Xenopus tropicalis: one gene and its partner. The protein of the gene in region 1 binds, or shares a complex with, the protein of each later gene. Links are inferred from orthologs where the notes say so. Each region holds a gene or a part of one and is shown on either strand. Other genes may lie near its edges.

Region 1 (3,826 bases):
TAGAAAACAATGCATGAACACTATCGGAACTTCCAGAGAGTAATCTAAATGTTTTTTTTAAGGATATTATTGAGATATTCACTGCTGCCTGTGTCCATGATGATGTCTCATTCATAAATGAATTGATGTCTCAATTCAATAAATACAGGATATAATTATCTCTATTTAGAGTCGTAATGTTAAAAGTGGTGTCTTTCTTTCAGACCTTTGAAGATAACATTAGGAAGAACAGGACGGTTATTAGTAACTGGATAAAATATGCACAATGGGAGGAAAGTCTAAAGGAAATTCAGAGGTATTCACTTTTTTAATTAAATTGGCATAGATGGCTTAAAATTAAATTTACGCTTATTAATGATTTGAATTTTTTTTCTTGCTTTTAGGGCACGGTCTATATACGAACGTGCTTTAGATGTGGATTACAGAAATATTACACTATGGCTGAAGTATGCAGAGATGGAGATGAAGAGCCGCCAGGTTAATCATGCACGAAATATCTGGGACAGAGCAATCACTACCCTACCCAGGGTCAATCAGTTCTGGTAGGTTTGTCACTTTTCAAAGGAAAGACTATGCTGATTTATACATATAGGTAACCAAAAATAATTAGAAATATATGGAGTTATGGGGGTAACTTTTTAGTAAAGGATTTTGTGTTATAGGAGTGCTGCAACTTAAGGTCGATAATCCCTATGTACAATGTAGATAATATGTAGCTTGTTTCTGTCGTGATTTTATGTCCTTTAGAAAATTGATTGTGCTGTAGCATAAGAAATGTTTTGACCTTCGAGTAATAAAAGACAGTGCTTTGATGTTTGAAGGTACAAGTATACCTATATGGAAGAGATGCTCGGAAATGTGGCTGGAACGCGGCAGGTTTTTGAACGTTGGATGGAGTGGCAACCTGAGGAGCAAGCTTGGCATTCTTACATCAACTTTGAGCTCAGATACAAAGAGGTGGACCGGGCCAGGTCTATTTATGAGAGATATATCCTTTGTGTATAAATGTGATAAGTTACTATGTTAAGAAATTCTTTAGAGTGGGTGCTGTGATGTACAATAATGCCAACATTGCAACTAAAACCTATTTAGGGTTCAAGGGTTTCCGATATGCGATCCCTTACCTGTACAAAGTAAAAACATAAATATCACAGAAAATTTGATTCTTTAACATCTGTGTACTTGTAATTGTGCACCCTGATGTGAAGAACTGGATCAAATATGCTCGCTTTGAAGAGAAGCACGGTTATATTGCCCACGCACGAAAAGTTTATGAAAGGTCCGTGGAATTCTTCGGGGAAGATCACATGGATGAAAACCTGTATGTTTCATTTGCTAAATTTGAAGAGCATCAAAAAGAAGTGAGTTTTAATTTACTTTAGCCAAGCTGTGTTATTTTAAACTGTATTAAATTGGGAGACATCAATGGGAGCACATTTAATGAATTTGTCAAGGCTCTGTATATGTCAGTAATTGACCCTAGCAACTGTTTTCAGCTCCTTATCTTCTCCCTTTCCTGTGAGGTTAGATGTAGCTACTACTGTCTTATTGCATTAGAATAGGTTTAAAATCAAGTTTCTCTACATAAAAATGTGTTTACTCTTCCAATTTGTTTTAATTCTAAAAACTGCCACATTCCCAACAAACGGGTGAAATAGAATGTAATTTAGGTCCAAGGAGACCAGCCTGGGATGATGATGTGCTGTTTGTCATCTGGTGATAGAAGATGCAGATGACATCTGTAACTGTGTTAAAGTTCCAACAGGATTACATCCTATTCAGCATGTTTATTGTTCTCTACACAGTTTGAAAGAGTCCGTGTCATCTATAAATATGCTTTGGACAGAATATCAAAGCAACAGGCCCAAGAGTTATTCAAGAATTACACTATTTTTGAGAAGAAATATGGTGACCGGAGAGGTATTGAAGATATTATAGTCAACAAACGGAGGTTCCAGTATGAAGAAGAAGTAAAGGTAAGGGAGCAATATTTTATGCAACACAGAAAACACAACTAGGAGTAAGCTTGCAAAGACTAAAGCTATTTAGTTGACCAGGGTCAAGTAGGCTATACACGTACTTATAGTACTTAAACCAATTTAGGGTGGTTCTAGGCATTTGAACTGTTTTTAGTCTGTTTACTGCTAGATAATGTTGTTAGGAACTCTATTCTAGCAACGGAGCAATGTGTGTATAGTTTTAAGTAGATTTAACCGATTGCCTGCCATAGATCAAATAATCTTAAGTGCCAGCAGTCAAGAAGCTGACCTCAAACACTACAGATTTTTCTTTTCTTGATGTGTGTGACTGGCAACATGCCGCAGGTTAATTGCTTTTGAAAGTGACCGACCGACTTGCCCCTCTATCATTACTTTTATGGTGATAGTAAATCAGTACCCAAACACTGCTCTGCCCATAAGTTTAATGTGAAAGATCAGTTTAGCACACATGGCCCACAGTAAATAGAAATACTGACTGGCACCACAAAACTGTTTTGTTTTTTTTTGTTTTTTTAACATGTTTCTTATGGCATAACCTGAACAGTAGTCCTTGGGTAGTTTCCATTTCTTTGCATATTACAGTATATAAATTATTTTGAGCTTGCATAGTTTTTCTAGTCTGCACTGCACTATTTTTTGTATAGGATAGAAACAGAATAGGAAGTAACAAACACTTGTGCTGTCCGAATGTTTGTGACACAATGAAATGAGCTTTAAATATGTTCGTAATGAATAACACAGCTGCAGTTGGTCACATCTCATGCCAGAAGAGCAATTCAGCAATAGGTAACAAAATGGCACAAGATGGAGAAATCACTTGATAAATATACAAATGTCTTTCTCCCCAGGCAAATCCTCATAATTACGATGCTTGGTTTGATTATCTGCGGCTGGTTGAAAGTGATGCTGATCCTGACACAGTTCGAGAAGTTTATGAACGGGCTATTGCCAATGTCCCACCTACAAAGGAGAAGAGACACTGGAAGAGATACATTTATCTGTGGATAAACTATGCCTTGTATGAGGAGCTAGAAGCAAAGGTGAAAAAAATTGTAATCCACAAGAAACTCTTGTAACTGTGTAATAACCTAGCATCCTGCGCGCACCAGACATTCTTTGTCTGCATATTTACATTGAATTACACTGCACATTTTTGCCCGCTAGATGGCAGTTGTGTGTCAGACATCTCTTAATGCAGAAAACAGTCTGAAAAACATAGATCATATACACTTTATAAAGTGTGATTATTATGACTGGATCTGTTGCATTTCCTTTTATAAAAGCAGCGTGTTATAGGAAAAAAAGGAATAACCCTAAACCAAACCAAATTTTTTTTCACTTAGCTAATGGACAGATTTTAATGGTTTTTTTACATACTTTGAATTTCAGGACCCAGAGAGAACAAGGCAAGTCTACCAGGCCTGCTTAGAACTAATCCCTCACAAAAAAGTAAGAGTCTTTGTAATTGTTTGTTTTCCATGAGCCTTATGTCATTTTACGAACTAAATTCTAGTCCTAAATTTGAGGATTTGCCTGTAGCTAGGCAGAACAGCCCACTCTTCAGCCGCTGTGCACAACACCAGGTAGGGGTGAATGCTGATCTGCCTCACGTGATAGTAATGATCTCTGCACAGGAGTGAGAGATTTTGTTGTTTTAATTATGTCTTCAGCCATCTTGAATTTTAACTTAAAATATTAGGGCTCTTACTGCTACTTGTTAATCTAGTTTTATTTTACAGTTCACATTTGCAAAAATCTGGCTGATGTACTCACAGTTTGAAGTCAGACAAAAAAATCTTCCATTTGCAAGAAGAGCTTTGGTGAGT
Region 2 (4,393 bases), on another chromosome or scaffold:
AATTTTTTGAAAAGGACCTGTACATCCTTTGACACTGGCACGAATGGACACAGACACACCCAGAGATTACTCACACAGGCACACAAGAAGCCACATGGACCCACAAACATACACATTCTCTCACACAGGCACACAAGAAACCACATGCACATCCTCTGAAACAAGCACACATGGACCCAAAAACATACACTTTCTCTTACACAGGCAAAAAAGAACCCACATACACATCCTCTGAAACAAGCACCCATGAATACACATTCTAGGAAACAGGCGCTCATGAATGCACATTCTCTGAAACAGGCACCCATGAATGCACATTGTCTGAAACAGGCACCCATGAATACACATTCTCTGAAACAGGCAACAAAAATTGGTATGGTAGGATGGAGCACGCCAGGACTACTGTGATAATAAAAATATTTATCCTTTATTTGTCGCTTCCATTAAAAACACATTACATAATTGAAGAACGGTTACTCCCCAGCTTAACGCGTTTCGTGGCTCACGGCCACTTCATCAGAAGCAATAAACGGAGTCCCCCACCCCCCTGTTGCTTAAATACCCTTCAGTAGTGCACACCCAACACCTCTTTAACCCCCTGTATGCCACATACTCATCCTCAGGTTAGACACACCCAGCACATCCTTAACCCTAGGAGTACCATGTAGAACCATTGCATCAGCTTTTGTTAAATGTACCCCATGTGGTAAGGATATCGTTCAGACATATCCCCATGAATAACGAAATATAAAATGTCATGCTGAGATATTACCCCCACACAATAAGAGAATAAAACAGGCACCCATGAATGCACATTATCTGAAACAGGCACCCATGCATGCACATTCTCTGAAACAGGCACCCATGAATGCACATTGTCTGAAACAGGCACCCATGAATGCACATTATCTGAAACAGGCACCCATACATGCACATTCTCTGAAACAGGCGCCCATGCATGCACATTCTCTGAAACAGGCGCCCATGCATGCACATTCTCTGAAACAGGCACCCATGCATGCACATTCTCTGAAACAGGCACCCATGCATGCACATTCTCTGAAACAGGCACCCATGCATGCACATTCGCTGAAACAGGCACCCATGCATGCACATTCTCTGAAACAGGCACCCATGCATGCACATTCTCTGAAACAGGCACCCATGCATGCACATTCTCGGGAACAGGCGCCCATGCATGCACATTCTCGGGAACAGGCACCCACGCATGCACATTCTCGGGAACAGGCACCCACGCATGCACATTCTCGGGAACAGGAACACAAACAATCTCGTTCCATGGTAACTGCTAGTTCTATAACCCTCGTTCCCTCCACGAAAATCCCAGTATACCCACAATGCGTTGCGACGCCCTGCTCTTCCCACAATGCAGCTTTTCATCGTGTTGGTAGACTTTCCCAGGATGCTTTGCGCTACTAGCGAGAAAATGGCCGCTGGCGGCTCTTCGCAAGCTCCAGTATCTTTTGGATTTAGTCGCAGTTCGAAAAAGAAATTCCTTGTGGCCAATGGAGATGAGAGAGAAGAGGACGAGAAGGAGTATTTGGTCGGGGCAGAGGGTAAAGAGTTGCTCAGGTAAGATATAGATATAGAGTGTTTGCGGGAGAAAGTGGCAAGTGCAACACTGCTTGGGTTTGTCTGCTGTAGTTACTTGTAAAGTCAGCGTGGGTTTGTATTATTTCTCTCTTATTATATAATAGTGTATAGTACACATGGTTAACCTCTTCTTTACTATTTCTGTTGCTGCACCCATACAACTGTATATTATATATTAGAGGTGCTAATGGGTTGCCATGTAGCTCTAGCTTCACTTCAGTATTTGGAACGGTCGGAGTTGCAGTTTAGCAATAGCTGAAGGACCATAGACTGACTCCTGAAACCATGCAGTAGCAGAAGTCTGTACTCCAGGTCTGTTAAAGGGGTTGTTCACCTTTAACTTTACCTATGATGTAGAAAGTGCTATTTTCAGACTGTTTACAATTGGTATTTATTCTTTATTATTTGAGATTTTTGAATTATTTAGCTTTTTGTTCAGCAGTTCTCAAGTCTGAAATTTTTGACAGCTGTCTGGTTGCTAGGGTCCAATTTACTATAGCAACCATGCAGTGATTTGAAAGAGAGACAGAAATATGAAACTACCTTCTGGGCAGTGCACCACCAACATCGTTTTCCTGTTCCTGGTCATTAGGGATGCGCTGAATCCAGGATTCGGTTTGGGATTTGGCCACGATTTGTCCTTTTTTTTTTTTTAGCAGGATTAGTATTCAGACGAATCCATGATCCTGGCCGAACTGAATCCTTAAAGGAGAAGGAAAGGCTAAGTCACTTGGGGGTGCTAAAATGTTAGGCACCCCCAAGTGACTTAAATCGCTTACCTCGTACCCTGGGCTGGTGACCCTGTTAGGAGAAAACAGCACCAGCCCGGGGTACCTGCAGCGATGCGCTTCCGCCTGCATTTCGCTAAGACTAACACAATAGGCGCATGCGCAGTAGAGTGAAAAGCCGACTTCTCGGAGGAAGCGCTGCAGCTACCCCGGGCTGGTGCTGTTCTCTCCGAACAGGGGCACCAGCCCGGGGTAAAAGGTATGCGATTCAAGTCACTTGGGGGTGCCTAACATTTTGGCACCCCCAAGTGACTTTCCCTTTCCTTCTCCTTTAAAACCACGTGACTCTTTGTCACATAAACATGGAAGCTGAAATTTTTTTGCAGCACAGACCGTTCTCTTTAACCCTTTCTTACCCTAACTTTTATATGTAAATTCTGATTTAGTTTGTTACTCGCCCATATCTTTTAAGGATTTGGGGTTCGGCTGATTTCGAAAATAGTGGATTTGGTGCGTTCATACCAGTCAGCCCCAGTAATCGAACTTGGTACATGTGCAGCATAAATATCTGCAAAATGTCGTGTACTGCAGGTGCTTGCTTAAGGTGGTGTAGGGAATATGTGGGAAAATAGAAGAAGATGACTATGTTCACAAGTCACCCAATACTGGTGCATTTTTTAGAAGAAGAGGAGAGCCAGTGGGGTAGTCCTTAGCCTAAAATATTTTCACTTCCAGAGGTTTTTCCTTTCGGTGCAAGGTAAATTACTTTGGAAAATGTGCAATACATTTATTGTTATGTTTCATGCTTGTTATAACACTTCCTTCTTTATTACTACAGCTTTGGCCTGCGTTGCAAGCAGCATGTATATTATAGCATCACCTTAATGTTATACAAAAGGGGTCAGATATTGATGTGGCTGGGGAGATAATCCTTTCAGCTGAATGGGCTAGTTTTAATAAAGAGCAGTAGCAATGATGCTTGTGTCACTAAAATATACAAAATAATAATGTGCTTCTCTTTGAATAATAGATTTTTCTTCCGTCTCGGGGACATATGGGGTTAAGCTCCACCTTTTAGGAGGCAAGACACTTGATTGACAAATTAAAGGGACGTGCCAGGTGGGGCTTTACCCTTCCACTGTACCCGATCCATCAGTTTTTCAAGTGTCGTCCTACCAGGAGGATGGACAGCCAGGTCTCTAGTGAGATTTTTCAGGATTCCTTCAGTCAGGGCCTAGCCCTGACACCCCGGGTGACACCAGGAACAGGGTTACCTGTTGCCTAAATGGTTAACCCCTACACGGGACGCCCACCGGGCTCAACACCTGTCCCAGTGGGGACTGTACAGACCACCCAGACAGTTTCCTGCTCCTTAGAGCAACTGCATAGGGTCTGGCTGGGTGGGCCCGCGACCCCCCTCTGTGTAGCCCCCCCACCTGTCTGGCTGCTTTGATGGATTACCTTTCTGTAAGCTTTAAATGGTATTAGTACTGGCCCCCTGCATGGTTAACACCTCAGATTTAGGATGTAAACCCCCTGTATTGTTCACACCTTTTAATTCCTACATTGTTCACCCCGTGCAGTGTTCACACCTCAGGCTCAGGCTGTTATCACCCACATTGTATTCCTGTTCACACCTCAACTGTAGGAGCAGTAGAAACCCACAAATAGACCCTGCACACTATAAAAAGAACATATACTGTGGTGGTACTGCAATAAAAAAGTGTTTTAATATATAGTTATTGTGCAGACTGTAGGAGCAGTGGCAGGATTGTGTCACTGTAGGCTGCCTGTGTGTGCCATACTCTGCCTGCCATATGCTGCCTGTATGTGCCATACACACAGGCAGCATAGGACAGGCAGGGTAGGGCAGGCAGAGTATGGCGCACACACAGGCAGGGTAGGGCAGGCAGAGTATGGCACGCACAGGCAGGGTAGGGCAGGCAGAGTATGGCACACAGGCAGGGTAGGGCAGGCAGAGTATGGCACACACACACAGGCAGGGTAGGGCAGGCAGAGTATGGCACACACAGGCAGGGTAGGGCAGGCAG

Evidence for each region.
Region 2: crnkl1 (region 1) and gpkow share a complex: the UniProt entries of both Homo sapiens proteins name them as parts of the minor spliceosome. The link is inferred for Xenopus tropicalis from reciprocal best matches to the Homo sapiens genes CRNKL1 and GPKOW.

What each region holds. Positions count from the first base shown.
Region 1 is NC_030681.2:36,930,447-36,934,272, forward strand, and holds part of crnkl1 (crooked neck-like protein 1), read left to right. Parts: intron 1-203; coding exon 204-295; intron 296-383; coding exon 384-542; intron 543-821; coding exon 822-988; intron 989-1,182; coding exon 1,183-1,361; intron 1,362-1,805; coding exon 1,806-1,976; intron 1,977-2,848; coding exon 2,849-3,040; intron 3,041-3,389; coding exon 3,390-3,449; intron 3,450-3,739; coding exon 3,740-3,820; intron 3,821-3,826. UniProt on the Homo sapiens protein: Involved in pre-mRNA splicing process. As a component of the minor spliceosome, involved in the splicing of U12-type introns in pre-mRNAs.
Region 2 is NC_030684.2:23,990,621-23,995,013, forward strand, and holds the start of gpkow (G-patch domain and KOW motifs-containing protein), read left to right. Parts: upstream 1-1,359; 5' UTR 1,360-1,387; coding exon 1,388-1,593; intron 1,594-4,393. UniProt on the Homo sapiens protein: RNA-binding protein involved in pre-mRNA splicing. As a component of the minor spliceosome, involved in the splicing of U12-type introns in pre-mRNAs.